7 linked regions of the Callithrix jacchus genome follow. The protein of the gene in region 3 interacts with the protein of the main gene of each other region in a pairwise test. Links are inferred from orthologs where the notes say so. Each region holds a gene or a part of one and is shown on either strand. Other genes may lie near its edges. The genes, in order: NCK2, LMO2, CCDC33, ZGPAT, melanoma-associated antigen D1, BCCIP and BLK.

Evidence for each region.
Region 1: the proteins of CCDC33 (region 3) and NCK2 interact in a two-hybrid assay, tested with the Homo sapiens proteins (2 studies listed by BioGRID). The two-hybrid records come from large-scale screens. The link is inferred for Callithrix jacchus from reciprocal best matches to the Homo sapiens genes CCDC33 and NCK2.
Region 2: the proteins of CCDC33 (region 3) and LMO2 interact in a two-hybrid assay, tested with the Homo sapiens proteins (2 studies listed by BioGRID). The two-hybrid records come from large-scale screens. The link is inferred for Callithrix jacchus from reciprocal best matches to the Homo sapiens genes CCDC33 and LMO2.
Region 4: the proteins of CCDC33 (region 3) and ZGPAT interact in a two-hybrid assay, tested with the Homo sapiens proteins (2 studies listed by BioGRID). The two-hybrid records come from large-scale screens. The link is inferred for Callithrix jacchus from reciprocal best matches to the Homo sapiens genes CCDC33 and ZGPAT.
Region 5: the proteins of CCDC33 (region 3) and melanoma-associated antigen D1 interact in a two-hybrid assay, tested with the Homo sapiens proteins (2 studies listed by BioGRID and IntAct). The two-hybrid records come from large-scale screens. The link is inferred for Callithrix jacchus from reciprocal best matches to the Homo sapiens genes CCDC33 and MAGED1.
Region 6: the proteins of CCDC33 (region 3) and BCCIP interact in a two-hybrid assay, tested with the Homo sapiens proteins (3 studies listed by BioGRID and IntAct). The two-hybrid records come from large-scale screens. The link is inferred for Callithrix jacchus from reciprocal best matches to the Homo sapiens genes CCDC33 and BCCIP.
Region 7: the proteins of CCDC33 (region 3) and BLK interact in a two-hybrid assay, tested with the Homo sapiens proteins (3 studies listed by BioGRID and IntAct). The two-hybrid records come from large-scale screens. The link is inferred for Callithrix jacchus from reciprocal best matches to the Homo sapiens genes CCDC33 and BLK.

Annotation. Positions count from the first base shown.
Region 1 is NC_133515.1:15,811,118-15,815,318, reverse strand, and holds the start of NCK2 (cytoplasmic protein NCK2), read right to left. Parts: upstream 2,801-4,201; 5' UTR 2,590-2,800; exon of another isoform or gene 2,534-2,589; coding exon of another isoform or gene 1,673-2,533; intron 1-1,672. Other genes in the region: uncharacterized protein LOC118147454, read left to right, coding at 1,673-2,533. UniProt on the Homo sapiens protein: Adapter protein which associates with tyrosine-phosphorylated growth factor receptors or their cellular substrates. Maintains low levels of EIF2S1 phosphorylation by promoting its dephosphorylation by PP1.
Region 2 is NC_133511.1:99,233,470-99,236,025, forward strand, and holds the end of LMO2 (rhombotin-2), read right to left. Parts: intron 1,500-2,556; coding exon 1,280-1,499; 3' UTR 501-1,279; downstream 1-500. UniProt on the Homo sapiens protein: Acts with TAL1/SCL to regulate red blood cell development. Also acts with LDB1 to maintain erythroid precursors in an immature state.
Region 3 is NC_133509.1:21,103,042-21,106,541, forward strand, and holds part of CCDC33 (coiled-coil domain-containing protein 33), read left to right. Parts: intron 1-1,004; coding exon 1,005-1,138; intron 1,139-3,334; exon of another isoform or gene 3,335-3,500.
Region 4 is NC_133506.1:59,197,781-59,202,035, forward strand, and holds the start of ZGPAT (zinc finger CCCH-type with G patch domain-containing protein), read left to right. Parts: upstream 1-1,455; 5' UTR 1,456-1,494; exon of another isoform or gene 1,495-1,589; intron 1,590-1,942; 5' UTR 1,943-1,970; coding exon 1,971-2,524; intron 2,525-4,255. Other genes in the region: ARFRP1 (ADP-ribosylation factor-related protein 1), read right to left, coding at 208-295, 541-633. UniProt on the Homo sapiens protein: Transcription repressor that specifically binds the 5'-GGAG[GA]A[GA]A-3' consensus sequence. Represses transcription by recruiting the chromatin multiprotein complex NuRD to target promoters.
Region 5 is NC_133524.1:52,079,226-52,083,298, reverse strand, and holds the start of melanoma-associated antigen D1, read right to left. Parts: upstream 2,801-4,073; 5' UTR 2,759-2,800; intron 1-2,758. UniProt on the Homo sapiens protein: Involved in the apoptotic response after nerve growth factor (NGF) binding in neuronal cells. Inhibits cell cycle progression, and facilitates NGFR-mediated apoptosis. May act as a regulator of the function of DLX family members.
Region 6 is NC_133513.1:119,131,363-119,135,352, reverse strand, and holds the start of BCCIP (BRCA2 and CDKN1A-interacting protein), read right to left. Parts: upstream 2,801-3,990; 5' UTR 2,789-2,800; coding exon 2,624-2,788; intron 57-2,623; coding exon 1-56. Other genes in the region: UROS (uroporphyrinogen-III synthase), read left to right, coding at 3,619-3,817. UniProt on the Homo sapiens protein: During interphase, required for microtubule organizing and anchoring activities. During mitosis, required for the organization and stabilization of the spindle pole.
Region 7 is NC_133514.1:10,520,035-10,523,534, reverse strand, and holds part of BLK (tyrosine-protein kinase Blk), read left to right. Parts: intron 1-84; coding exon 85-136; intron 137-2,059; coding exon 2,060-2,153; intron 2,154-3,042; coding exon 3,043-3,141; intron 3,142-3,500. UniProt on the Homo sapiens protein: Non-receptor tyrosine kinase involved in B-lymphocyte development, differentiation and signaling. B-cell receptor (BCR) signaling requires a tight regulation of several protein tyrosine kinases and phosphatases, and associated coreceptors.

The sequences.
Region 1 (4,201 bases), on a different chromosome or scaffold from region 3:
CCAGTCTGTGCACAGTCAAGGAGGACTTCCAGTGTATTTAATATGGATGATAGTGCATTTCTCAAATATGGTACTGTGTACATAAGATCTGCTGTGTTTTGGAAAAGCTAAATAACCCCAAATGTAAATGACAGTGCCTGGGTAAGTACAGCAGGATCAAACAGAGAGAGATGAAGAAGATTTAAGTATGTAGTGTGTCCTAAGCAAAACACAAAGCCTGAAAACTGAGCACAGCTACCTGAAAAGGGCCTTCAGCAAGTCCCATCGTTAATAGGGTCAGTTTCTTCACAAGCGGACAGAGGGGTTTATGCAGCAGCCAACTTTCCCTGATGGTAATTTATGACCCAATTTCATCCAGTGTTTCATGATCAATCCCGTTGAATGTTTATGAAGCAGGAAAGAAGCTCAGAATCCATGCAAGGCCTCCAGGACAGGAAGTGGGCCAGGCACCTCCACAGATTCCCATGGCCAAAGTTCTTAATTTCAGCATCAAGTAGCCGCCAAAAGAGCACTAAGATTCTGCCACCGTCTCCAGTCAAAACTACATCTAACCAACCTCCAGGGGAGAAAATACTGAGGTAGGATTTTCCCTTGTGGTCACTTCTTCACAAGCAGGGTTAACACTTGCTTCGCAGGAAATCCCTGTTTCAAACATCAAAAAACCTACATGTCTAGCCCAATCTCCAGATGAAATGCATTTCTTCTCCATGTGTCCCATGACTGCCGTTCTCTTTACAGAAACCTCACACTGGCTTGAATCCTGTTACTAATTCACCCGTTTATGAACGCTTGGAAAGTGAATTGAGGGAGTGTTCACAAGCACAGTTCTGTACTGTTAAGTTAAAGCAGCCCAGGTTAATTTCATTTTCAGTCACTTTTCAGATTCGATAACTACATCCAAAACAGAAGCATGAAACACAACCTGAATCACTTTCATTCCTACACAAAATCCTTTCTGAGAAGCAGGGACTGGGTCTGGGGCCTGGGCCAGGAAGGGACTCCTCTACCTGTGGGTCCCGAGCAAGCCACGCCCACCGGCTTCTCTGGCTAGTTCCTTTCTGGGTCTAGGGAGGGAGCTGGCCAGTGCGATATTTTAAGCCCCTCCTGCCCACACTAGGGCCTGCTTATCCCATTATGCAGACGCAAACTTGGCAGAAGCAACCTTAAACCTGTTGGTAAAATAAAGCCAAATCTGCCAACCTGAATTGTCTGAAGTGGCCAAGGCCGACTCCATGCACGCTCGGCTTTGTCCCTGAAGCTGTTACAATATTAGTTTAAGTCAGGTGCCTGGGGTCCACCAGCCAATGACCCCTAGCATCCAGCGCAGACCTTCACAGAGATCCTTACTGTCTACAAGTTAAAGTGTGTGGCAAATTAAACCCCTCCACACAATGCCAAGCTAACTGTGTTTGTAAGGGAGTTAGGGTGCCTTAAAACTCACATATCAAATGTTTCCAGAACCACTCGGTGGTTAAATCGCCCTGAAAGAAACCGAAAGGCCGAGCGATTGTGAGAAACTTTGGTTCAGGTGGCTGTAAGAGTCCTGTAAATCTGGGGCAGGGCGCACAGCCTGAAGCAGGGCACAAAAGCTCCCTTCGCCGACGCGAGGACCTCCTTTATGCGATGTGACAGCAGCTTTGTGCGCGATCATAAATAGTTGTAATAAACACAGTTAAGTTCTCCCGGCCGATCTCGGCCTCCCGCGTCCCTGCGCCGGGGCCCTGAGATCCCCGGCTCTTCTTCCCTAGCACGCGCGCCCTGGCGACCCTGGCCACTGCACGGTCCTACGCTAGCCCCAAGCTCCGTGCCAGCCGCCGGCCAGCAGGCCAAGAGCTGCCTGCACACCCGGGGGTCTCGAGTCCCCGGGCCCCGCCGCCGGGCCCCTTGCCCTGATCCCCGCCTGCGCCCTTGGCGGGCGTCCCCGCCCCTGCGCCGGCCCCCGATGGCGGGGGGTGGGGACGGGAAGGCAGGCAGGAAGGTGCCGGGCCAGGAGGAGCGGGGCAGCTCGCGGTCGGGGGTGCCCAGGCCGCGGCGGGGCCGAGAGCACCGGTGGGGCGCGGAGTGGACCCGCTCTCCCAACCCCTGCCCGGGCGCGCCCCGGCCCGAGAGCCCCGCTAAGCTCCCAACTCCGCCCAACGGCCCCAAGTTTGCGGCCCCCGCCCCGCTCCCGCCGTGCCGCGCTTACCTCGCCGTGGGCCGCCCGCGGAGCCGGAGGGCAGCGGCGCGGGTCCCGGGGCGGCGGCCGCGCTGCGCCCGCCCAAGCGCCGCTCTTTGTCTGCGCCGCTCCCTCCTCCCGCCGCCGGGCGGACGCTGCCGGCCCGGGCGGACCCCGCCGGCCCGGGCGCCGCGAGCCTCCCAGCCGCCGAGCCCTCCCCTCCGCCGGCCGCCCGCTCGGCCGCGCGGCTCTGGCCTGACGATCCCGGCGGCGGCGGCGGCGGCGGCAGCGGCGGCGGCGACCCTCCCCCGGCGCTCAGCGCCCGCCTCCTCCGCGCTCTTCCTCCTCCTCCCGTGCTCCTCCCCGGCCGCGCCGTGACGCCGCCCAGGGGCCGGCCCAGGCCCGGGCGCGCGGGGCGGGGACCCGAGACCCACCTGGGGCGCCCCCCGGCGCCACCAGGCTCCGCGTCTTGGGTCTCGGTAAGCGCTCCGGGATAGAGCAGGGCTAGGGGACGCTCCGCTCTGCAGGCGCAGCGCGGGCCGGGCGTCCGGTGCAGGAAAGGGTCCCTACGCCCGAAATTGCGCGCGGGCGGTGGGTGGGGAGGAGAGTGAAAACCCAAGTGGTAACTTCCAGCCTCGGATGACTGCCGGGTGGGCTTTGCGTGCTCTTTTTTGTTTGTTTCATGTTCTTATCACGAAGCTCTAGTTGCTGGGCAGCCGCCCCCGTCCCGGAAGCACTCCCACGGCAGTCAGCGAAGCAGGCCTGTTGTCCATCAGAAAAGTGACTTGTATAAAAATGTCACTTCCTCCCTGTAATTGCTTGTGGGCATTTTTATTTATTTGCCTTGCATCTATTTACTTTCCCAACCAGACACGTTTTTAGTCCATCATCCCGTCCGAGGCACTCCCTAAAAGAAGGAGAGGAAACTCGACCTCTGTTGCCTCGCAGGCATCCAGGCCAGCCCCAGCCAGTGGAATCCTGGTTGCACACCCGTGGGGCAAAACCCGAAGAGGAGCTGCCCGAATGGGCCCCTAGAAGGTGGGTGGCTAATAGTGGGACCGTTCAGCCCACACAGCCTCGAGTTGTGGCTAACCTGTAAACAAACTTGGAAGATTAAAACCCAAGAGCAAGGGGAAAAACACAAGCTTCCCTTTCACAGGCACTTTCATCCGGATGTCTTTGCTCCTCCCCATGTGATTTCCCAAAGGAAATTCTAATATTCAAATAATTCTGATTTTCTGGCAGGATAGCCTGCATCCATGTTAATAAGATTCTTTCTTAGGCTCCTAATCTCTGCTTACTATTAAGGCAATAATAACTTACCCAAGATTATAAAGCAGTATTATTTGACTCACTCATCTCCTGCCTCTTCCAGAAAGGAAATACCCTAAGATAGGTAACTAGAGGCAGTGTAGCTTTGCAGTCAGACAGGTGAGTGACTATTGACTTCCTGAACTGTGTAATTTCACACAGGTGGGCCTTATCCTTTCTAAAATCTGTCAAATGGGGAGTTTTTTGTTTTTGTTTTTGTTTTTTTGAGACAGTCTTGCTCCGTTGCCAGGCTGGAGTGCAGTGGCATGATCTCGGCTCACTGTAACCTCTGCCTGCCCAGTTAAGTGATTCTGCCTCAGCCTCCGGAGTAGCTGGGACTACAGGTGCCCGATCCCATGCCCAGCGAATTTTTGTATTTTTAGTAGAGATGGGGTTTCACCATGTTGGCCAGGATGGTCTCGATCTCTTAACCTTGTGATCTGCCTGCCTCAGCCTCCCAAAATGCTGAAATTACAGGTGCGAGCCACTGCTCCCGGCCAGGAGATAATATTTACCTATCTCCTATGTGAAGTACCCTGGCAGTAGGTAGCCCTCAATAGCTCAATAAGTGGAAGGAGGCACAGTACACTGAGCAGGAATCAGATATAAGCTCAGGGAATTGGGACAGCGTTTTTTTTTTTTTTTCCTTTGTTTTGACCTTGTGAAAGAAGCTACTTCAGTTCATCCTTTTGGAAAAGCCTTGTGTTAATAATTCCTAGTTTACAATAAGGAAAG
Region 2 (2,556 bases), on a different chromosome or scaffold from region 3:
TCAAGGCAATACACAAACCAAGGTGCTTGCTCTAAATCCTCAAAGTAAAGGTCCTCTTAACCACTTGTCATAAAACACCCTGAGACACCCGTCTTGGAAAATCGAAGTGTCAAGCTCAGCATCTCTGCCACATTTCAAACTAGGTAATTACCTTCTCTCCCAAAGGGAATCTGCTTTATGTATTTGTGTCCTTTCTAGGTTACAAGTTTCCCAAAGGCAATGATCTTGCCTTCCAGTCCCTCCACACAATGCTGAAGTGAAATGCATATTTTACACTAACAGTTTAATTATTCTACATCCCTCTGAGCTACATGATGACCTGTTATATAATTGCCAGTAATATAGAAATGTGCCTGCCTCACACAAACCCTTGCAACACATAGAAGTTTTTATTTGACCTAAGAGTAAATTGCATATTTGCTTCTCTTTTACAACAGAAAACACAGACCATTTCTCCGCCATCCCAAATTATAAGTCGAAAGCAAATAAACAACACTGCATTTCAGTCTGTCATTTTTATTAAGTCTGCAGAGCTGGTTTTTTTTTTCCTACACACGACAAATACTTTGATATAATCTAGGATAATAAAATAGTTGAACAACTTTTTTTTTAAGATTTATATCTGTATAGAAACAATCTGTGGAACTCCCCACCTCAAAATGAAGGTGTCTAAAAACAGTGATTCATCCGCATTGCTTTAAATCATTGTTTGGTTAAAAGTTGTGGTTTCCATTCTCAACCAAAATGTGTCTCCATGTGTTTTTCCTCAGGTCCAAAGCTTAAGGCCTTGGGAAGGTGGCCCAGAAAAAAAAGAATGGCCACTCTCCTCTCTGTCCTTCCCTCGTGTGGAGGATGGTGATTAAAACAGGGGTGTTACACAAGCCAGGAAGGAAAGAAATCAATTGCACGTCTCTAGTCTGCAAGCATCAAAGTCACAAGTCTTTACACAACAACTCCCTATCTGTAGATATGAAACCATCATGATAGCACAGTGCCTGCTTGTCCCTAAATGCTCCTTTCTTCTGCCAATCATGTCAGTTACTATGGCTGGGCTGTGGCCATAAGTTCTCCCTAAGGGCTGGTCCTTCTGTCACCTTGAAGTGTCAGCCCTTGCATTATGCCACTTGGATGCTATGTCTTGGTACCCAGTAAGGGTCTACCATCCCCTAAGAAATCCCTCACCCCACCCTCAAACCCCCAAAGTGCCTATGAGTAAAGACGCCATGGAGACGGTGTCTCCAGTGAACACCTCCCCAAAGATGCCTGGGGGGACTTGCGCCTATATCATCCCATTGATCTTAGTCCACTCGTAGATGTCCTGTTCGCACACTATGTCGGAGTTGATGAGGAGGTATCTGTCGCCTACACAGAAGTGCTTCTGACAGGCAGCACATTTGAAACATTCCAGGTGATATACTTTGTCTTTCACCCGCATCGTCATCTCATAGGCACGAATCCGCTTGTCACAGGATGCACAGAGACCATCTTGCCCAAAAAGCCTGGGGCAAAAGAAAGAAAAGCTAAGAAGGAGTGAAAGGGACAATCCTGGAAGGCAGGGCTCGGAGATGAGCCCCAGAAAGGAGGCTGGACTTTCAGGATGTCAGGTAGCCTGGAAAGGTCGGATCCAGAAGGAAGGCCGGCTAGTGCAGTCTTTCCCAGGAGGCAGAGCAAACCCAGATGAAACTGGCATTTGAATCTGGCAAAAAAAAGCCCCTATCCGCAGCAACCGTTCCACATTCCGCTAGGCTGCCCCTTGGCTCCTCCTCTGTGGGGGAGATTCTCAGCTGATGTGATCTACGATAAGGAGTTAGGCAAGTATTACCTGTCCCCTCCCAGGGGAACCCTCATTTCAGAAGAGCAGCTGGAGTGAGACCCACGGGGCCCCTCTGAGAGGATACTGACCAGGACTGCAATAAAATGGGCATTCTTCTGAGGCTCCCAAACTCTATCATGTCAACAGCTGCTGATGCTACCCATGGGGAGAGCTGGCCTTGAATATCTCCATAAGCTGCAAAGCACATCTCCACCTAATTATTCACTGGGGCCCCAGCTGCTGGGAGATGGGGAGTTCCACAGAAAACATGTGCTGCAGCTCATCGTGCCTCTGAGATATGGAGGACAAACAGGAGCTCTCCACCATGAATGGAAGATCTTAATTCATGGTCCTTGCTGCCCCACTGGCATGAGTCAAAAGGGAAACTTCTTTTCTGACATTTAAATCAAGACTCTCCCAAGCCTGTTCATCAGTCACTTATTTCAGGCAGTATTCAGTGTCAAGGGGGAGACAGAACATGGCAGGGCTCAGTACATGGTTCTCAAAGCTTTGGTCCTGGGACCAGCAGCACCCACACTGCCTGTGAACAGGTTAGAAATACAAATTCTCAGGCTGGGCCCAGTGGCTCACGCCTGTAATCCCAGCCCTTTGGGAGGCTGAGGCAAGTGATCACTTGAGCTCACTAGTTTGAGATCAGTCTGGGCAACATGGCAAAACTCTGTCTCTACAAAAAAATCAAAAAATTAGCCAGGTGTGGTGGTACATGCCTGTAGTCACAGCTA
Region 3 (3,500 bases):
CACAGAGCAGATGTGATCTCAGCTAACTGGCCTGCCCCACTCCCTTTGGGGGCCTTGAAGGTGGAACAAGGGCTGGTGGCGATGACATCTTTGCTTCCATCCTGGGGTACCATTTGTGCACCTTGCCCTCTCCCCCACAAGGGGTGCAGTGTGGCTCCCCCTGCTACAGGACCTCCAGGATGACTCCTCAGCCCATGACTGCTGCAGTTAATGGAGCAGCACTGTGGATGGCCCTGACCTAGTAACCTCTTCTAGAGGAGAAGTATTTACTCTCTCCTGAGCCGTTTGATGGCTCTGCATCTCAGATACCTGTGAGGTGCACTGGGATGCAGAGGGCCCAAGCTCACATGCCACCTTGAACAGGCCGATCCTGAACAATTTGGGTGCTGCAGGGCTGAGAAGCCCTTGCCACCACCACCTGCCCCCAGGCCCAGACCCAGCTCCAGGGGTTCAGCCCAAGGCTCGGCACCAGCAGGCATCGCAGAAGGCACCATGTACGTGCTTCATTGCAAGCATTTAGAAATGGGATTGCTGGGTGGAGCCTAGAATCTGGGCCAGAAGTTTAGGGAAATAAGGTGAAGAAGAGAGGACAGCCAGGCGGGGCACCGCACAGCCACCCTGCCCAGAGGCTTCCTCCCACCAGAGAGAACCTAGAGAAGAGGGAGGCCATGCACGTGGGCACCAACTGGAGAGCCCTCCCTGGCGAGGACAAGGCATCTACCCCTACCCCTACCCCTGCCCTGAGCCTAAATGAGAGGCCTGTGTCTGAGTGAAGGCCTCAGCAGTGGCCAGCAAGACAGTGTGGTCACTTGGGCTGGCAGGGGAGCCAGGGGAGAGGCCTGGAGTCCCCTGGGCCTGGGATGACATGAGGGTCATGCGTGTGGGAAGGAGCTCTCCATGTTTTGTCCACCTTTCACTCAGATTTATGGACAGTGGAGCTTGGAAGGGGGATAGCAACAGACAGGACCCCTCTCTCTGACTCACTCTGCCCCCGTTCTCCCCAGGAAAAGCACATCTGAAGAAAAGAATGACCAGAGCTCCAAGGCAGTCACATTTGTGACCTCAGAGCCCACCAGAGCCCCTATCTGGGGGGACACGGTGAACGTGGAGATCCCAGCTGAGGATGCAGGGCGAGAAGGTGAGGTGGGGGCTGGGCGGGACCTGCATATGTAGGCAGCGGGGGAACACGGCCAAGGACTCAGGGCAGAAGCAGGCTCCCTTTCAGCGCAGCTGGTAGCCACCTGCACACTTCCCTGGGCTCAGTTAAAAGCACTTAGAACAAATCATAATACTGTCACACCTCATCTCCCCATCCTGCTCGAAAAATGAGTTGTTCCACATAAATGAATTTTCCAGACGATGCAAGCTTATCTTTTTTTATGACTGTTGTTATTATTTTCATGGCTGTTATTACTGCCGTCTCCCACTGAAACAGGACATTACAGTGTCCCAGCACGTCCCCACACATCGCTCACTGGAGTTACCAGCTCCCAGGAGGAGCAGTGCTGCTCCCATTGCTTAAGAGAACATTGAGGTTCAGGGAATTTAACTGGCTTAAGCTGAAGACCGAGGACCAAGGACTCCACATGGCATGTTCTCACTGCAGCTCCAGGGTTCTTGCTACTTCCATTTGATTTTTAAAAAAATATTTGAAAGGTCCCTAGAATGGATCCCTATTCCTTCCTAGCCCTCCCCAGGTCTCAGCCTGAGCCAGCAGGTGCCACGTACACACAAGCATGTGCACACTTGTATCTACTTTCACACTGTGGGTCTGTTGGACTGTGGGTCTGAGCTCCTGGGGGAGCTCAGGTGGGGAACATGGGAATGCTGACTGGTTGACACCCAGACCGTGCGGCATCACATTGGGCACTGTCAGAACAGACCGGAGGTGCCTGGTGATGTCTCTGATCTTATCTAGTCGGAACCTCAGACTTGCTTCTTGCAGGTGGTCTCTCCCTGAGGGGACAGGCTTGCCTTTCTCCCTTGAAATCTTGCTAGGGATCTAGACAGAACTCCTTGTTCTCCTCACAAAGAGCAGAAAGCCAGCTGAAGACTGTGAAAGGGGAGAAAGGAAATGGAGTGGGAGCCTCCATAAAAGGGGAAGGAGCTAGTTCTAGGTCAAGCGAGAGAATTTTTCTTTTCTGCCTGTAAAGGGATAGGTGGAGCTGCTGGGATGCTTTAACAAGATGCAAAAGAGGAGGAAAAATTGACATAAGATTTCATGCAGAGGCACAAGCGTGCCTGTGTGTGCATGTCTTTGTGAATGCCTGCATGCTGGTTCATGCGCATGTGTGAATGTGATGCGTGCTGTGTCTACTTGTAGGCATGCGTGTCTGTGTGGCTTATGTGTGTGTGTTTGTACATGGGTGTGTCTGGCTGCAACAGTGTGGTGTGTGTGTGTCTGGATGGATCTGGATGGTGGTGTGTGCCTTGCAGTGCATGAGTATGTGTAGTTTGTGTGTGTGCCTGTGTGTGTATGCATGCATGCATGCATTTATGTGGCTGGTGGGAAGTTAGAGGTTGTGGTGAGTGGACCTGAGCTGGGATCCTGCCCTGGGCTCTACACACTTGGGGTAACAGAGGGAAAAATGTAATGAGGTCAGTGACCCCTGGGCCCATTGTGCAGCAGAGAGAGGGGCAGGACTAACTGCAGGAGGGACAAGAGAGTGGGGAGGCTGCCTGGGCAGGCAAGGAATATTGGCAGGCGCCTCACTGCAGATTGAAGTAGCTGGATGGTTGTTGGTACCGGTTGCTGTGGTGATGTCTGTGGTGGGGGTGGGGGAGATGGGGGCCAGGCCAAGAGGCGGGGGAAGGGTGGGAGGTAGCTTAACGATGTGTTAATGAAAAGCGAAGGGGAGTTTCAGACCCTGTGTCAGGGCCAAAGCAGGCGGGTGGCAGAAATAGCTTGTTGGCCACACAAAGGGAGCAGTGGGAGGCCGGAAGGGCACAATGCCCAGAGAGGAAGCTGATGAAGCGTGTTTGTAGCATGCAGACAGGAGCAGGGAGGAGTGGCTGTCCATTACCCCCAATTCCAGCTCATCTGATGACTGCCCACACAGAGCTCCAAAAATAGAGGGTGCAGAAAATGCATGGCACTCACCTCTCGTTCAACCCTGGCAAATCCCAACTGGATCTGGGGACTCTTGGTCCATGGTGAGTGGGCATAAGGGGCTTCAGTCTGCACAGCTCCTGGTAGTGCTTTGGCTGGGAGCATTGGAATCCCCCAGATGAGTTTCCTCAGGTCTGCCTACAGCAGGGTTTGTGTATGGAGAGCTGCAGATGGTTAACAAGGAAGGAAAATAGTGACAGCCACAAGGAGTGCTTGCACAGAATGTTATAGCTTGAAAACACAGTCTTCTCCCTACCACAATCCAAGGGGGGAGACATGACTTCTTTATTAAAGTCTTAACATGTGGAAGAGGAGGAACATAAAGCTGAAAGAGGCTAAAAGATTTGCTGACAGTCGCAGAGCAAGTTAGTGTCTTGATACTAGAACCCAG
Region 4 (4,255 bases), on a different chromosome or scaffold from region 3:
CCGCAATGGGAGCTCCCCAACTGCAAAGTGCCAGCCAGCCTGAGAGACAGGCATTATAGCAAAGGACCCACACATATGGACGCTGACCCAGGGTCCAGCCCAGGATGAGGCCAACTCCCAGTCAGAGCCCTGCTCTGGGTGACACGGGTGAACATCACAGCATCCTCAAGGTCCCAAACCCACAGCCCTGCTATTCAGACCCCTTACTGTTGAGACCCACGGTGGTGGTGATTTTGGATAGACTCATCCCCTTGTAGTTCTTGTTAAACCGGGTTTTCGACTGCTCCAGGAAGGTCTGAGGAGAGAGGGAGGCAGACACATCAAATAGGGACTACAGTGTTTCCCAAGTCTTTTTCCCAAATATCCTTACTCAGGCCTGCTCCTTAAAAGACAAAAAACAGAAACAAAGCAACGTTCTGCTCTTCAAGAAGCTGGCGGTGACTACCCTGTCTTCTCAGAAGTCTGGATTCTGTCTGGGTGGTGAGCATGCAGCTGACACCAGGTCGTGGGGAGGGGCTCAGGCAAGGGAGGGGCACTCACCGTCTTCCCAGCATTGTCCAGGCCCAGGATCAGGATGCAGTACTCGTCCTTCTGAAACATGTACTTGTACAGGCCGGACAGCAGCGTGTACATCCTGCCCTGGACACCCCGACAGATGTCACTGTACAGCAAGAACGCACCCGCCCCCCGAGTTTCTCCACGGTGGTCAGTGGTGCTCCACGTCCAGCTGACCGCTCAGGACTAGAACCTGGGGCCATTCCCGACTCCTCATCTCTCTTCCACCCCATCCCTTTGTGACTCTTCGGCCTCCGTAACTTCTCCCAGATCAGCCACCCTCCGCCACTCCTGCCCCGGGGCCTCCCTGCCCGCGGGACCACCCCGCCAGTGTTCACAGTGAGCTCGGTTGCGCCCCCGCCCTCCCCCCCGCGTCGCTCCCACGCTTCACGCGCGCGGAACGGGGAACGCACTTGCTGCAGCCCCGCCTGGGCACAGCGCCCTCGGGTGTTCGGCCGCGAGCCCCACCCAGTAACAGCCAGGAGCCCCTGCAGGCGCCCCATCACCCCGTTTCTTAAAACGGGGACGGCCTGTGGAGAGCGGACCCGCAGGCAGCGCGCGGCGGGCGGGGACGGACTCCCGCGGAGGAGGAACTGCGCTCGGGCCCCCGGGCTCCCGGCGGCTGCCAGTCGCGGCCGCCAGGTTCGAGGCTCGCCGACAAGCTGCTAAAGCTGGTTCCTGTCACACCCGCGTCCCAACCTCGAGTCCAGGGCCGCCTCTCGGGCCTCGGGCCCGGCCGCACAGCCTCCGACCTACCTGCGTCCGCCGCGGCCTCTAAGCCGCCGCTGCTGACCCGGCACCGACCCCGCGCGGGGCCTGACGGGACGCGGGCCGTGGGGCAGAAGCTTAATCGCGTCCCGGCGGCCTCTGCGCTCCGCTTCCCGGCTGCCACCGCGCGCCAGGCACTTCCGGAGGCGGCTGCGGCGGGAGGAAGTGCCGGTAGGCTGCGAGGGCGAAAGCGGGGCTCCGGCCTGCTTTAGCCGGTGAGGCCGGCGGGCTCTCTATGGAGGCGGCTGGGAAACCGCGCTGAGGAGGTGCGCGGCCCTGGCCGGACGGAAGAGAGGCCGGGCGGGGGTCGGGACCAGCCTGCAAGGCTGCGGGCGCGGCGGGTGCGCTCGGCGGAGGGCCGCGCGGGGTCGCCCTGCGGGGAGGGGGTGACGCGGAACCCGGCTAGCAGCGAGCCCGGGGCGGCTCGGAAGGGAAGTGCGGAGCCCGAGCGGGGGTACCGGGCTGCGACCTCCGCGCCGGGAGCTATCGCTCTGAACCGGTGTCTCCGCGAGGGAAAGGGGACGTGCCCGTGCCCGCCGCAGGCTGTGGTGGCGGCTGCGAGACCCTCGCTCCGTGTCGGTCCCGAGACGCGGGGCTCACCAGGCCCCTCTTCTCGCAGCTCCGGTCCAGCGCCTCCCTCTCTCAACATGGATGAGGACAGCCTGGAGGCTGCCCTGCAGACCTACCGTGCGCAGCTGCAGCAGGTGGAGCTGGCCCTGGGCGCCGGCCTGGATTCGTCCGAGCAGGCCGACCTGCGCCAGCTACAGGGGGACCTGAAGGAGCTCATCGAGCTCACCGAGGCCAGCCTGGTGTCCGTGAGGAAGAGCAAGCTGCTGGCCGCGCTGGACGGAGAGCGCCTGGGCCAGGAAGATGCTGAGTACCAGGCTTTCCGGGAGGTCATCGCCGAGGCGGCCCCTGGGGCCGGATCAGAGACAGTTCCTAAAGCAGAGGCGGGGCCAGAATCTGAGGCAGGTGGGCAGGAAGAGGGAGAGGAGGAAGAGCTGAGTGGGACCAAGGTGAGCGCGCCTTACTACAGCTCGTGGGGCACCCTGGAGTATCACAACGCCATGGTGGTGGGCACAGAAGAGGCGGAGGATGGCTCGGCGGGTGTCCGTGTGCTCTACCTGTACCCCACTCACAAGTCCCTGAAGCCCTGCCCGTTCTTCCTGGAGGGAAAGTGTCGCTTCAAGGAGAACTGCAGGTAAAGCCCTTTGCTGTCAGATGGCAACCTCGAGGCGTACGGGGTGCACATACAGGGTCAGGTCAGGATCGGCCCTCCCTTTGCAGTTGGTCCCAGCTTCCTGGGGCAGGCGGGCTGTGAAAGCAGTATCCTTGTTTAGGCATGTGCCTCTTTCTTCTGGGATAAGAGCAGGATGCATGGAAGGAGGCTAATCAAGGTGGCTCACGCCTGTAATCTCAGCACTTTGGGAGGCCCGGGGGGGAATCACCTGAGGTCTGGAGTTGGAGACCAGTCTGGTCAACATGACGAAACTCCATCTCCATTAAAAGTACAAAAAATCGGCCAAGCACAGTGGCTCATGCCTGTAATTCCAACACTTTGGGAGGCCGAGGCGGGCGGATCACGAGGTCAAGAGATGGCGACCATCCTGGCCTACATGGTGAAACCCTGTCTCTATTATAAGTATAAAAGCCAGCTGGGTATGGTAGTGTGTTCCTGTAGTCCCAGCTGCTCGGGAGGCTGAGGCAGGAGAATCGCTTCAATCCAGGAAGTGGAGGTTGCAGATCACACCACTGCACTCCAGCCTGGTGACAGAGTGAGACTTCGTCTCAAAAAAAAAAAGTACAAAAATCAGCTGGGCGTGGTGGCAGGCACCTGTGGTCCTAGCGACTCAGGAGGCTAAGGTAGGAGAATCAGTTGAACCCAGGAGGCTGAGGTTGCAGTAAGCCAAAATTCAGCCACTGTACTCCAGCCTGGGCAACAGAGCGAGGCTTATGTGAAAGAGAATAGGTCCCCAACCTATTGTCAGTTTTGTTTGTTTTTTTGAGACAGGGTCTTACTTTGTCACCCAGGCTGGAGTGCAGCCTGGACTTCCTGGGCGCAATTGATCCTCCTGCCTCAGTCCCCCAGGTAGCTGGACTACCACACCCAGCTAATTTCTGTATTTTTAGTAGAGGTGCGGTTTTGCTGTGTTGCCCAGGCTGGTCGCACACTCCTGAGCTCAAGTGATTCACCCGCTCTGGCCTCCCAAAGTGCTGGGATCACAGGCGTGAGCCACCGCACCCGGCCCTGTTGTCAGTTTTATTCTCTAGAATTCAACTTTTAAATTTACTTTAATGGAAATTTTGAAACCTGCCCCAGATGAGAGAGCCTAGCATAATCACTGCCCACAGTCTATTATCATTTTGCTTGTTCCCCCGCCCCGCTTTTTCCCTTCCTGGATATTTTAAAGCAAATTTCAGAAGGTACTGGGTTTTTCCAACTATGAATACTTCAGAGTGGATCTCTGATAAGGAAATATTACTTAAAAAGTAACTTTTTGAAAGTCCAAGTCAGTGTGAAGACAAGAAAGAGTCACTTCCACATCATTATAGATAACACGTTTCATGGCAGCACCTCTTCCATGTTCGAATATCCACAGCTATTACCATGATGTCTCCATTTCCATAAGCGCATAGCTTTATTTTTGCTCCTTTTTACTTTTCTCTGAGAAGAAATATTTACCAGGCTTTCTAGTAGGTAATTTTCTTTTTAGCCAATAGTTCAGGCTGGCCAGGTAGCACTCCTAGTTCTTTGGATGTCTTACTTTGTGGGGGTTTTTGTTTTTGTTTTTTTTAAGCAGGGTCTTGCTGCCCTGTCACCCGGGCTGGAGTACAGTGGCACAATCTCAGCTCACTGCAATCTCTGCCTCCCTACTTCAAGCCATCCTCCCACTTCAGCCTCTCTGATAGCTGATACTACATGCGTGTACTG
Region 5 (4,073 bases), on a different chromosome or scaffold from region 3:
GAGCAAAACTCTGTCTCAAAAAAGAAAATTTTAGCTGGGTGTGGTGGGTGTGGTGGCATGTACCTGTAGTCCCAGCTACTCAGGAGGCTGAGGCACAAGGATCACTTGAGCCCAGGAGATCGAGGCTGCAGTGAGCTTTGATCATATGTCTGTACTCCAACCTAGGCAACAGAGCTAAACCCGGTCTCAATTAAAAAAAAAAAAAAAAAAAAAAAGAAAAGACAATCATGGAAATTTGAATATAGACTGAGTATTAGATGATATAAAAAATTATTATTGACTAGGTGCAGTGGCTCACACCAGTAAATCCCAGCACTTTGGGAGGCCAAGGTGGGTGGATCACCTGTGGTCCAGAGTTCGAGACCAACCTGACCAACATGGTGAATGAAACCCCATCTTTACTAAAACTACAAAAATTAGCCAAGCATGATGGCAGGCTCCTGTAATCCCAGATACTTGGGAGGTTGAGGCAGGAGAATCACTTGCCAGGAGGCAGAGGTTGCAGGGAGCCAAGATCACACCATTGCACTCCAGCCTGTGTAACAGAGCAAGACTCATCACAAAACAACAGAAAAAAAAAAAAGAAGAAATTATTTATCTTACTAAGTAAAATAATGATGTGGTGGTTACTTAATGCACCTATAAATTAGAGATACATAGTGAGTTATTTACCTGTGTGATGACATATCTGGGATGTGGGGAAAAAAACAGGTGAGGAGATGCACAGTGGGCTGAAACGAATGTGATAATATTTAAATGATACGTAATAATGATTTGAATAAACAGACATCAGCAATACTCTTTGGAAATGTTCCTAAGGGTTTTGGTGTCACAAAAGCTCTGCCTCATTGTGTATTCTTTTTTTTTTTTTTTTTTCTGAGATGGAGTTTCGCTCTTGTTGCCCAGGCTGGAGTGCAATGGCGCAATCTCGGTTCACTGCAACCTCCGCCCCTGGGTTCAAGCGATTCTCTTGCTTCAGCCTCCCGAGTAGCTGGGACTACAGGCATGCTAATTTTGTATTTTTAGTAGAGACAGGTTTCTCCATGTTGGTCAGACTGGTCTGGAACTCCCGACCTCAGGTGATCTGCCCGCCTTGGCCTCCCAAAGTGCTGAGATTACACACGTGAGCCACCGCGCCCAGCCTGTTTATTCTTTTTTTTTTTTTTTTTTTTTTTGAGACGAAGTTTCGCTCTTTTTACCCAGGCTGGAGTGCAATGGCGCGATCTCGGCTCACCGCAATCTCCGCCTCCTGGGTTCAGGCAATTCTCCTGCCTCAGCCTCCCGAGCAGCTGGGATTACAGGCATGCACCACCGTGCCCAGCTAATTTTTTGTAATTTTAGTAGAGACGGGGTTTCACCATGTTGACCAAGATGGTCTCGATCTCTTGACCTCGTGATCCACCCGCCTCGGCCTCCCAAAGTGCTGGGATTACAGGCTTGAGCCACCGCGCCTGGCCTGTTTATTCTTAAATAAAAACTATCCATGGCCTAGAAAAGAGGATCACCCCTTATTTTGGCAAGCATAACACACAGGAGGGAGTAAACTGCTTGTTCAAAGAAAACTTTGGTTAAATTCCTCTTTAGATTCTGATAGAGCCTGAAAAACTCTGATTCTCACCATAAATTTAATGATCATTTGAGTAAAGGCAATAATAAACTGTGATTATTATTTAATAACTGATGTTCTCACAAGATAAATTTGACATGGTAACAAATGTAACAGAAAAGTAATTTCATATTGCAACAAATAGATTATGTAATACTTGCAAAGCTCTGAGAAAAAGTCTTTGTCTCAAAAAATGTCAGCTTGGTGCTTAATGCTGCTATCAGAGACCAGAAAATAATTTGCATAATAAACTCAACTCATATAAAGTAATAAATTTGTGGCTGGATACCACGCCTGTCAACCATTTCTCCACTAACTTTTACAGGGGATGGGAAAGTTTACGCTCTCTGAAGCTCTGACACCTGGTTATAGGTATAATCCACTACGTTTGCCGCCCCCCCCAAAAAAATTTGGGGATTCAATCCTATGGCAACATAAAAAACAGATGCAACGAGAAGACAGAAATCTGTGCAATAGTATCTAAATGATGTGTAATTTTGTTTAGAGTTAAAAAAATAAAAGAACATAATTCGAACAAGTGCCTATGTCTCTTAGGGCTCTAAGGTTTCTGCTTCTTTCCTTCTACTTTAAAAGAACCAAAAAAGAAAAAAAAAAAAAAAAAAAAAGCCTTGACCTTGAAGTCACACCTACTTTTGCAAAGTACGTAATTCACTGGTCTCTGGAGGAGGGGAACGGGAAAGACCAAAGGCCAGCAGCGGGAGTAAAACAGGGTTTAGGAAGGGGCTTGCAAAGAGTCGCAGGCTAAAAGGATGCGGGGCAGAAGGCGGAGGTAAGAGGTAGGAGATAGGAGTGACCTGTGGTAGAGGGAATGTGATTGAGGGAATGACCCTGCCTCCAGACCGGAGAAGAGGATCTGGGATAAAGAAGAGAGGTGAAGCATGACCGAGAGTCAGGTAGATAAAAAGGACCACAAGAATCGGGAAGGGGAGTCGGATGGGACCTCCCATCTCCGGAGGAGAAGGGAGGAGACAGTGAAGCTATCAGAATCACATGCGTCAGAAGCATCCTTCCTACAACGTACGCGGGGATGAATTCTCCTTTCCACCCCATGTTGAGGCACAAAAGGAGGTCTCCCTGGAGTGTATCGGTATTTATATGTGAGAATTACCAAGACCCCTTCTTTACACTCACCTTGACGGAGAAGGCAGCGACGATGGCGTGACCGGAAGTGCTGTCCTCTTTTGTTTGGCGGAAGCTTTAGCTTCTGCAGCAGCCACCCCCTCCTTCACTTCAGGCGACTTCCTGTGCCTCTCTAGCAAGCTCTGCAATGCTCTATCTCATTGACTCCCTCACTAGATCAACACCTACATTGTGCTGTAAACGGGCTGAGAGAATCACGAACTTTTTACAAATCCTAGTTCTAGTCACGCCAGGAGCTGCAGTATCTCTGCCAAATCCATCAGGTGCAATTTGCCACCTCTCATTGATTCGCCTTAGAAATATCTCCCTTCATCTTAGTCCCTTAACTTAGGCCTCATTTTTCTCTGTCTTGGATGTCTACAGTGACATATTTACCAAACTGATTTACTGTTTCTGGCACACCACTTTGAAAAAATTCCATTTGTATTAGCGGTATGTGTCAACCTTTTCAAAACATCTTAAGTCTAAACAACTTTTGCTTTGAAATCGTATCCAGAGTTACATACCATACTCAAATGTCCAAAGAATAAAGCTGGACTCCTGTAGAAAGCATTCTTGCATTATTTTACATACTCCCCAAGAAAAGGAAGAAAATGAAAACTGAAAAAAATGTTTCAATAATTTTTTAAAAACTCTACTCTGGTTAAATACCTTCAGAACAAGTTTAACATTGAATTATTTATTGACACTACCTCCAGAAAGTTCTCCTGGCCCCCAAATCTAGACCACAGTTCTCACCAAAGGGGAGGATCTCTTTTTGTGGTTATTTTTAGTCAATCCACAAGTATATACTGAGCACCTACTATGTCCCAAATACTATGCTACACCCAGAGACACTACACTAGAAGCCCACAGCCTAGAGCTAAAATGACATTTAAACACTTAAGAGCCTAGCATAAAATATGTGTTTATCAATATTTGTTAAATTAATAAATGACCAAAATGTGGTCAGAGCAAAGAAGGAAACTAGCAATAAGGTCCTTAGTTTTGTTGGCATTTTTACAATTTATTTCAACAATTTGAATCACATTTCCCACTAAACAGTGCTTTAGCTGAATCCCATCAATCTTCATATTTTGTATTTTGATATTTTTATATATTGATTTTATCTTTGTAGTTCCTTTTTTTTTTTCTTTAGTAAGACAGGGTTTCACTCTGTTGTCCAGGCTGGAGTGCATTGGCATGATAATAATTCACTGTAACCTCAAATTCCTAAGCTCAAGTGCTCCTCCTGCCTCAGCCTTCTGAGTAGCTAGACTACAGAAGCATACCACTATGCCTAGCTAATCCTTTTTATTTTTTGTAG
Region 6 (3,990 bases), on a different chromosome or scaffold from region 3:
ATTCCGTCATAATCGTTATCTGATATAGAATAAGCTTCAAATTCGATATTCACTTCCTGTAAATAACACATAAAATAGTTATCAGAAAAACTACAAACATCTAGGCTTTAAAATAGGCAAACATTGCCAAGATAGCCATCTGTAGAGAATACAAAGCACCATCACAACATTTCTTCATGACACAAAAGCCTGAGAGAACAAAACACTCAGAGTAACCTAGTTTAAATGTTGAGAAAGTCCAGTTCAAATAAACCAGTCACAGCAGCCACAAAGAAAAAATTATTTTCCTGATTGCAAAAAGAGTGGGCAAAAATAAAAATCATTTCAAAAGTCCCTGGAATTGCCTAGAGCTTAATTTAGCTCATGGATTTGAGGTTACACTTCATTCACCTAGCAAATATTTATTAAGTACCAATCCAGGTACCAAGCACTATGCCAGACACTCAAGATGAAAAGGTTATAATGGGTGTGGTGGCTCACACCTGTAAATTCAGCACTTTGGGAGGCTGAGGTGGGCAGATGAAACCCCAAATCTATACAAAAATTAGCTGGGCATGGTGGCACACACCTGTAGTCCCAGCTACTCGGGATGCTGATGAGGCAGGAGAATCGCTTGAACCCAGGAAGCAGAGGCTACAGTGAGCTGAGATTGCGCCACTGTACTCCAGCCTGGCAACAGAGCAAGACTCCGCCTCCAAAAAAAAAAAAAAAAAAAAGAAAAGGTTAGTAAGGCAGACACGAATAATCCTGCTCTCACGCAGCTTACAATTTAGGGAGGAATACAGACATTAAGGAAATATTTGTAGAAATAAAGCAAAGGTATCACAGTGCTATAACAACTTAAAAAATAAGTCAGGAAAGGAAAGGCTTCCTTAAAGAAGTGACACTTGAGCAAGGCACCAAGAAAAAGCAAAGGGGGTTGCTGGTACAGGGAACAGCACAAACTAAGGCCCTAAGGCAGAAGGAAATATCATGAGCACGAGGAACTAGAAGAAAGAATGTGTAGCTGGGCTCCCTGATCTGTATCTTCAAGACAACATAATCTAAAAGAAGATGGCACTGAAATACCAAAAACAAAACCTAGTTCCTTTTAAACACTATCAAGATCCATCCTTGAGGACCCTAAATCATACCTTGATAAATGATACAATGAACCTCGGGCTCTGATTAAATAATTTATTTTGATGCTCCTCAGGTTTTAATGGTTTGGGAATTTAGGTCTTAGCTGAAGGACAACACAGAGGAAATTAAACCCAATTTTACCTTGCCACCCGGACTATGCATATATTTAAGGCTTCCTGAATTGTTAAACTTGCAACGCCCTGGAATTGCTCTAAGCAATTTTGAAGCAATTTCAGCTCCAATTTGAACTCCTTAAGTCCAGCTTTGCAGATCAAACGCTAACTCAGCCAGATTATGTGAGTAGCAAAACACAAGGGGTAGGGTGGGAGCGTTCCAAACAGGATCAAACTAAGCCAAATAACAAATTGTCATTATTCAGGACTTAAATTTATTCCTTAGATCTAAATACATTCTGTAAATAATGCTCTTCCAGTGTTTTTTTCTTTGTGTAGACAGACACCTCGGACCTCTGTCCCAGCCTATTACGGCACCACCAGGGAAATGGGCAGCAAATGGATCATCTGTCCAGCACCCTTTTCCCGGGTGTGGGATCATCTCCACATGGTTTCAACAGGAACAGCCACGTTTGTAGAAATCAGCCCTGTCCCTCATTCCCAGGTGATTTAGAATTAAGACTGTGGTCGTCTGATAGACTTCCCATGTTAGCACAAGAATCACTGCTTTCTATAACCCATAAAATAGCCAAAGTTCTAAGTGAACAACGGTGAGATGGCATTCGAGGCACAGAGCCAAAGTAAAGATTTGTAAAGGAAGACTGATCACACAGCTGGTGAATTTAGGGACCATTTACAGAAATGACGACGGTTAAAGAGAGGGGCATGAATTATACAAATTCTGCTTTGGACAAGTTAAGGCTGGGGTATCTATTTAGACATTCAATAGTCTGAAGGATCACTCAGTCCGAATTATTTATTAAACAAATAATAAGTGCACTAGGGTAGGACCTATTCTGAAGACAGGAACCAGTTCGGTGAGATTATGAAGCCAAAGATTTACCCACGCCTTGGGTCAGCTGCCCCAGGAAACCAGAAAATACAGCCTAGCTGAGATCTGAAGAAGGAAGGGAAAGAGCATCTCTGAAAAGGCTTCTACGGTAGAACCCGGCAGGAGCCTTCGAGAAACTGAGGGCCCACGTGAGCGCAGCCTGCACAGTGCAGAGGCGGACAGCTGCTGCCCCGGGGGGAGAGGGCCGGCTCTGCGGACCCCGGGTGGCCGATTCAGGATCTGAGATTTCGGCCTGAGCACTAAAGCGGGCGAGAAGAACACACCTGCCGCGGCGGGCTTTTTAGCGGGGAAGCGGGTTGCGAGAATAACCGGATCGGGGTAGGCCTTTGAGAAATAACTACGACGGCTGCAGTGTGTCAAAGGCCGAGGAGGAACCTGAGAAACAACTTTTCTCCAGGTTCTGATCACAGACCCTCGGAACCTGGGCTTGCCACGAAGTTCATAAGCCAACTAGAGAAGTGTGTGTCCTTCTCACCTCGTCGACGACCTCGTCGTCTTCATCTTCTTCCTCGTCACTGTCGTCATCGTCTTCGTCCTCATCGTCGACTTCATCTTCCTCTTCGTCGTCGCGCGGGACCGGGGCGCCAGGCGGTTGCGGAACCCCACTTCCCACAGCCCTCCGTTTGGCCCTGGACGCCATGTTACCGCCCACACTGCGCCTGCGCAGCTTCCCGTAGCCCGACCTTACAGACCAGCCCATAGTAGCCAAGCGGGGGAGGGATTACGAAGAAGCTCAGCGATGGGTACACGCCAACCCCAATGCCCCTGCTGGATTCTGCAGCCATGATCCCTTACAGTCAGGTCCAGCTTGCGGTCCTAGCTTGCTTTTTCCTTCCTCCCTCCACCCTCTCTCACTCCTCCCAAGGCTTCCCCTCCCCTTCGCTTAGTGGTTTAACCCATCTAGCCTTAGGCCTCATTCCGCGGCCTGGATTTAGAGGCGCATGCGCGAGCACCCAGCGGTGCGCGCGGCCACACAGCGACCCTAGGCTAAGGTGCCGGGGTCCTAGGACCCGGCCCGGGTCGCTGCCGCAGCCCTGAGGCTGCCTGGGGAGGAGGCTGCCCACCCTCTTGTCATTGCTCCTGCAGCGTCAGCAGCCTCTTCGCTGGGACTGCGCGACACCGACCCCCGACTGGGCGCCTGCGGTGTCCTAAGCCCGGTGCTGGGCACGGTCCAGTCTTTTAGCCCATTAAGGCCTCGCCAGCCCCTCGAGGTAGGTGTCGCCGCCCGCGGTACCAGTGCAGAGGCCAAGGCCCGCGGGCGTGCAGGGCCCCGGCCCAGGGCGGTGTGTGACTTCGCGGGGCCAAGGCCGGGAGGCCGCCGCGGGCCTGGCCCTGCCCAGGCAGGAGGTCTGTGGCTCCTACGGCTGCGCCGGTGACGGAAGGCGCCTGCCCAGCCTACCCTCGCCAAACTTCTGGAGCGCGTTTCTTGATCTAAAGTTTTTTTTTTAAAACCAGGGACTGCAATTAAAAATGCTTCGCGGGGGCCGGGCGCGGTGGCTCACACCTGTAATCCCAGCACTTCGGGAGGTCGAGGCGGCTGGATCACCGGAGGTCAGGAGTTCGAGACCAGCCTGGCCAACATGGCGAAACCTGGTCTGTACTAAAAATACAAAAATTAGCCGGGCGCGGTGGCTCACACCTGTAATCCCCAGCACTTTGGGAGACCGAGGTGGGTGGATCACTTGAAGTCAGGAGTTTGAGACCAGCCTGCCCAACATGGTGAAACCCCGTCTCTACTAAAAATATAAAAAGTAGCCAGGTGTGGTAGCAGGCGCCAGTAGTCCCAGCTACTGAAGAAGCTGCGGCAGGAGAATCTCTTGAACCCAGGAGACGAAGTTTGCA
Region 7 (3,500 bases), on a different chromosome or scaffold from region 3:
GTCCCCGGAGATCACCTGGCTGCCTGCTCAGGCCCTGCGCCTGCGGCAGGGACGGGAATAACTCATGCATGGTTTCTACCCAAGGTTGTCTTTAACCACCTTACTCCTCCACGGCCCGAGGAACACCTGGACGAAGGTAAGAAGGGTGGTGCGGGAAGCTGAGTCTCCACGGCCCCCTCCCCTTGTGGAGTTGAACAGGAAACAGTCGGGAGCAGCTTGAGGGCTGGAGAAGAGAAAAAGGGGAAGCTGAGCGGGGCCCAGGCTCCGTGCCTCTTGGGGGTGTCTTCAGGAACCAAGCATGAATTTCCTTACTTTGCCTGAGCCTGGTGGGACTTTTTGAAAATGAAAGACTTTACAAACTGTAAACAAGAATAAAAATAAGGGTCCCAGAGAAGACACACACCATCATCAAACCCAAGCTTGCAAAGAGTCTAACTCCCAAATTCAGAGGATGGGCAGTGGCTCCAGGCCCTTGCCTCCAGCCCTGGGCTGCGCCCCGTGGAGGACACCTTCTTGTTTCCCCCTCCCAGCCACTTTGACAGTCACCTGCTGATCACCTAACCACCCATGCCCCCTCCCTGGTCCCCAGATGTCACCTTTTTTTTTTTTCTTTTTTGAGACAGAGTCTTGCTCTTGTCGCCCAGGCTGGAGTGCAGTTATGTGATCTCAGCTCACTGCAGCCTCCACCTCCTGGGATCAAGTGATTCTCCTGCCTCAGCCTCCCGAGTAGCTGGGATTACAGGTTCACACAACCACACCTGGCTAATTGTTATGTTTTTAGTAGAGACAAGGTTTCACCATGTCAGTCAGACTGGTCTCGAACTCCTGATCTCAGGTGATCTGCCCATCTCAGCCTCCCAAAGTGCTGGGATTACAGGCATGAGCCACTGCACCTGGTCCCCAGACTCCACTTCTGCTCTGGTGGGCTGGCCTGCTGGATGCCGTAGGGAATGAGCTTGGTCTTCCTGGGCCAGAGGCTCCGCCCTCAGGGGCTCCCAGGAGGTTGCCTTTTTCACAGTGACCTCCCGCAGCCTCCTCATCATCCACGTCCACACAGCATGGGGAAAGGCTGCCTCAGCCAGCCTGGGTCACACCCATTAACCTGCTCACGCCACATACAACAGGCATTCAGCACATGGGGTGCGACTCTGTCCCAGGAATGGTGAAGGGGTGACAACAGGTAGATGCGACTCCCTCCCCGGGAAATTTCAGTATCTGTCACACTCGTGAGCAGAACTTGGATCTTAAAACTGCAGGGAACCGCTGTTGCCTATTCCAACCCCCTCTTTCCTGCTGAGAAGTGACCAGCCCAAGGTTACACCCTCAGCTCAGTGACAGAGCTGAGCCACCTCACCTGGAGAAGCTAAGCGCTCTCCAGGTTACCTTCACCAGGTGGGTCCTGTGGCTCCCAGGGCTGTGCAGAGAGCCCTCGTCACAGAAGTACTCATTTGAAGATGGTGCTCCAAGCTCCCGAGCCCTCTTGCCCCTTCCATCCAGGGCCTGCCAGCAAGTCAGGGGGTCCATGGGACACTGGCAGCCACAGGCAGTGTGGCAGAGCTCGGGCACAGACAGTGGGGAGGCCAGGGCTCCAGCTGCCACCTGGCAAGACCACCCCTCTTGGGCACAGAGGTGGGAGGAGGTAGAGGAGGAAAAGGGCAAGAGGAACTCACAGGCCTCTGAGACCAGGTGTGGGATAAGATGAGGGACTGCCAGCACTGGCTCCCAGTGTGGGCCTGAGGCCACCAGCCCAGTAGTGGCTGCCTCCCTGTGCTGACCTCTGGCCACCAGCGAACTCACACATGGCCTGCCCAGGCCATAGGGCTTCTTAATGGATCCAGAAAGGAGGACAGGATGGGCTCTTGGGGCAGCCCGTCCTGGTGAGGTCACAGGCAGGGTCACGGGTGGGGGTGGGGGCCTGTTCTGGATGAGAGTGTCATCTCCAGCATGGGCAAGCAGAAGACCGCCCCTCCTGGTAGCCAGAGGTGGCTCCCATCACAGGCTCGCCCCAGCCCTGCCCTCCCTCTCGGGGGCCTGGTCATCTCTCCCTGGTTCCTTTCAGATGAGCATTTCGCGGTAGCCCTCTATGACTATGCCGCCGTGAATGACCGGGACCTGCAGATGCTGAAGGGGGAGAAGCTACAGGTCCTGAAGGGGTGAGGCTCCAGGACGCCGTCCCCTGTCCCTGCAGGAGTCCCACCACATCCCTCCCTCCTCTGCCCACCACATCCTCCGTGGCTGACCCCAGAAACCTTCCCCATTGCCCTGCCCCCATCCCTAGCCCCAGCATTTTCTTGAACTTGGCCCTTTTGTCCCCCTCTCCAGACTCTTTCTGGTGAAGTGATTTCCATTCACAACTTCCCGCTTATCCTTCAAAGTTCATGTTCCATGCCACCACCTCCATGCAGCCCTCCTGACTCCTTTGGGCATGTGGACCTTGTCCTTTATGCAGGCCGGTCTGGCTGTTCCTTGAGAGCCTTGCATTTAAGTCAGTCATGTCCATATTTGTCTCCTTCTTAAGACAGACACCCACATGGATTACACACGCCCATCCTGCTTTAGCTCATTTTGTGTCCTTCTCAGAAACTCCATCTAGGCCCGCTCTCTGGGTGACCAGTCTTGCCCCCTGGAGTTCTGAGGGTCTGATTTTGTTCTTGAAGTTCTGCAGTGACCTTGAGCCAAGCTCATGAAAGTCCTGACTATTGATCCTATACAGGCCGCCCGACTGTGTCTTCCTCAAGCCTGTCCCAAGTCCCTCACCAAGCTCCGAACACATCCCACTCATCAAGAGGAAGGCTGCTGGCCAGAGCCCTGGGTCCTCTTGGGCTGGTCAGGCTGTACAGATAAGCTCTTCCCCCTAGAGCTTACCCAGATACCCACCATACCACGGAGCAGCAGGCACAGCCCCTTCCTGCCTGCCATACTGTCTACCTCTGCGGATTCTGTGCCTTCCAGGGAGAGGTGGCATTGAGGAGGCCTGGGAGCTGCCCAGAGATGGGCCCACAGAGGCCATGATCACAGCTCTGTTTCTCCTGCTCCCGCTAGAACTGGAGCCTGGTGGCTGGCCAAGTCACTCGTCACAGGAAGAGAAGGCTATGTGCCCAGCAACTTTGTGGCCCGAGTGGAGAGCCTGGAAGTGGAGAGGTAGGTGGCACGGGAAGTCCCTTGGAGCCAAGGTCCAGTCATTGTCTCTGCTCCCTGGGCTGCTAGGCAGGGCAGGACCAGAATGGGACTGACCTGGGAACCCGCAAGCACCAGCAAAAAGGGGACAGGAAATTAGCTCTGCTGGAAAGGCCCCTCTGCTGGTTCCAGATGACAAGTTCAGACCACTGTGTGACACTGAGCAGACTGCTGTGTGACACTGAGCAACCCGCTGTGTGACACTGAGCAGACTGCTGTGTGACACTGAGCAGACCACTGTGTGACACTGAGATACTGAGTAGTCTGCTGTGTGACACTGAGCAAACCGCTGTGTGACACTGAGACACCGAGTAGGCTGCTGT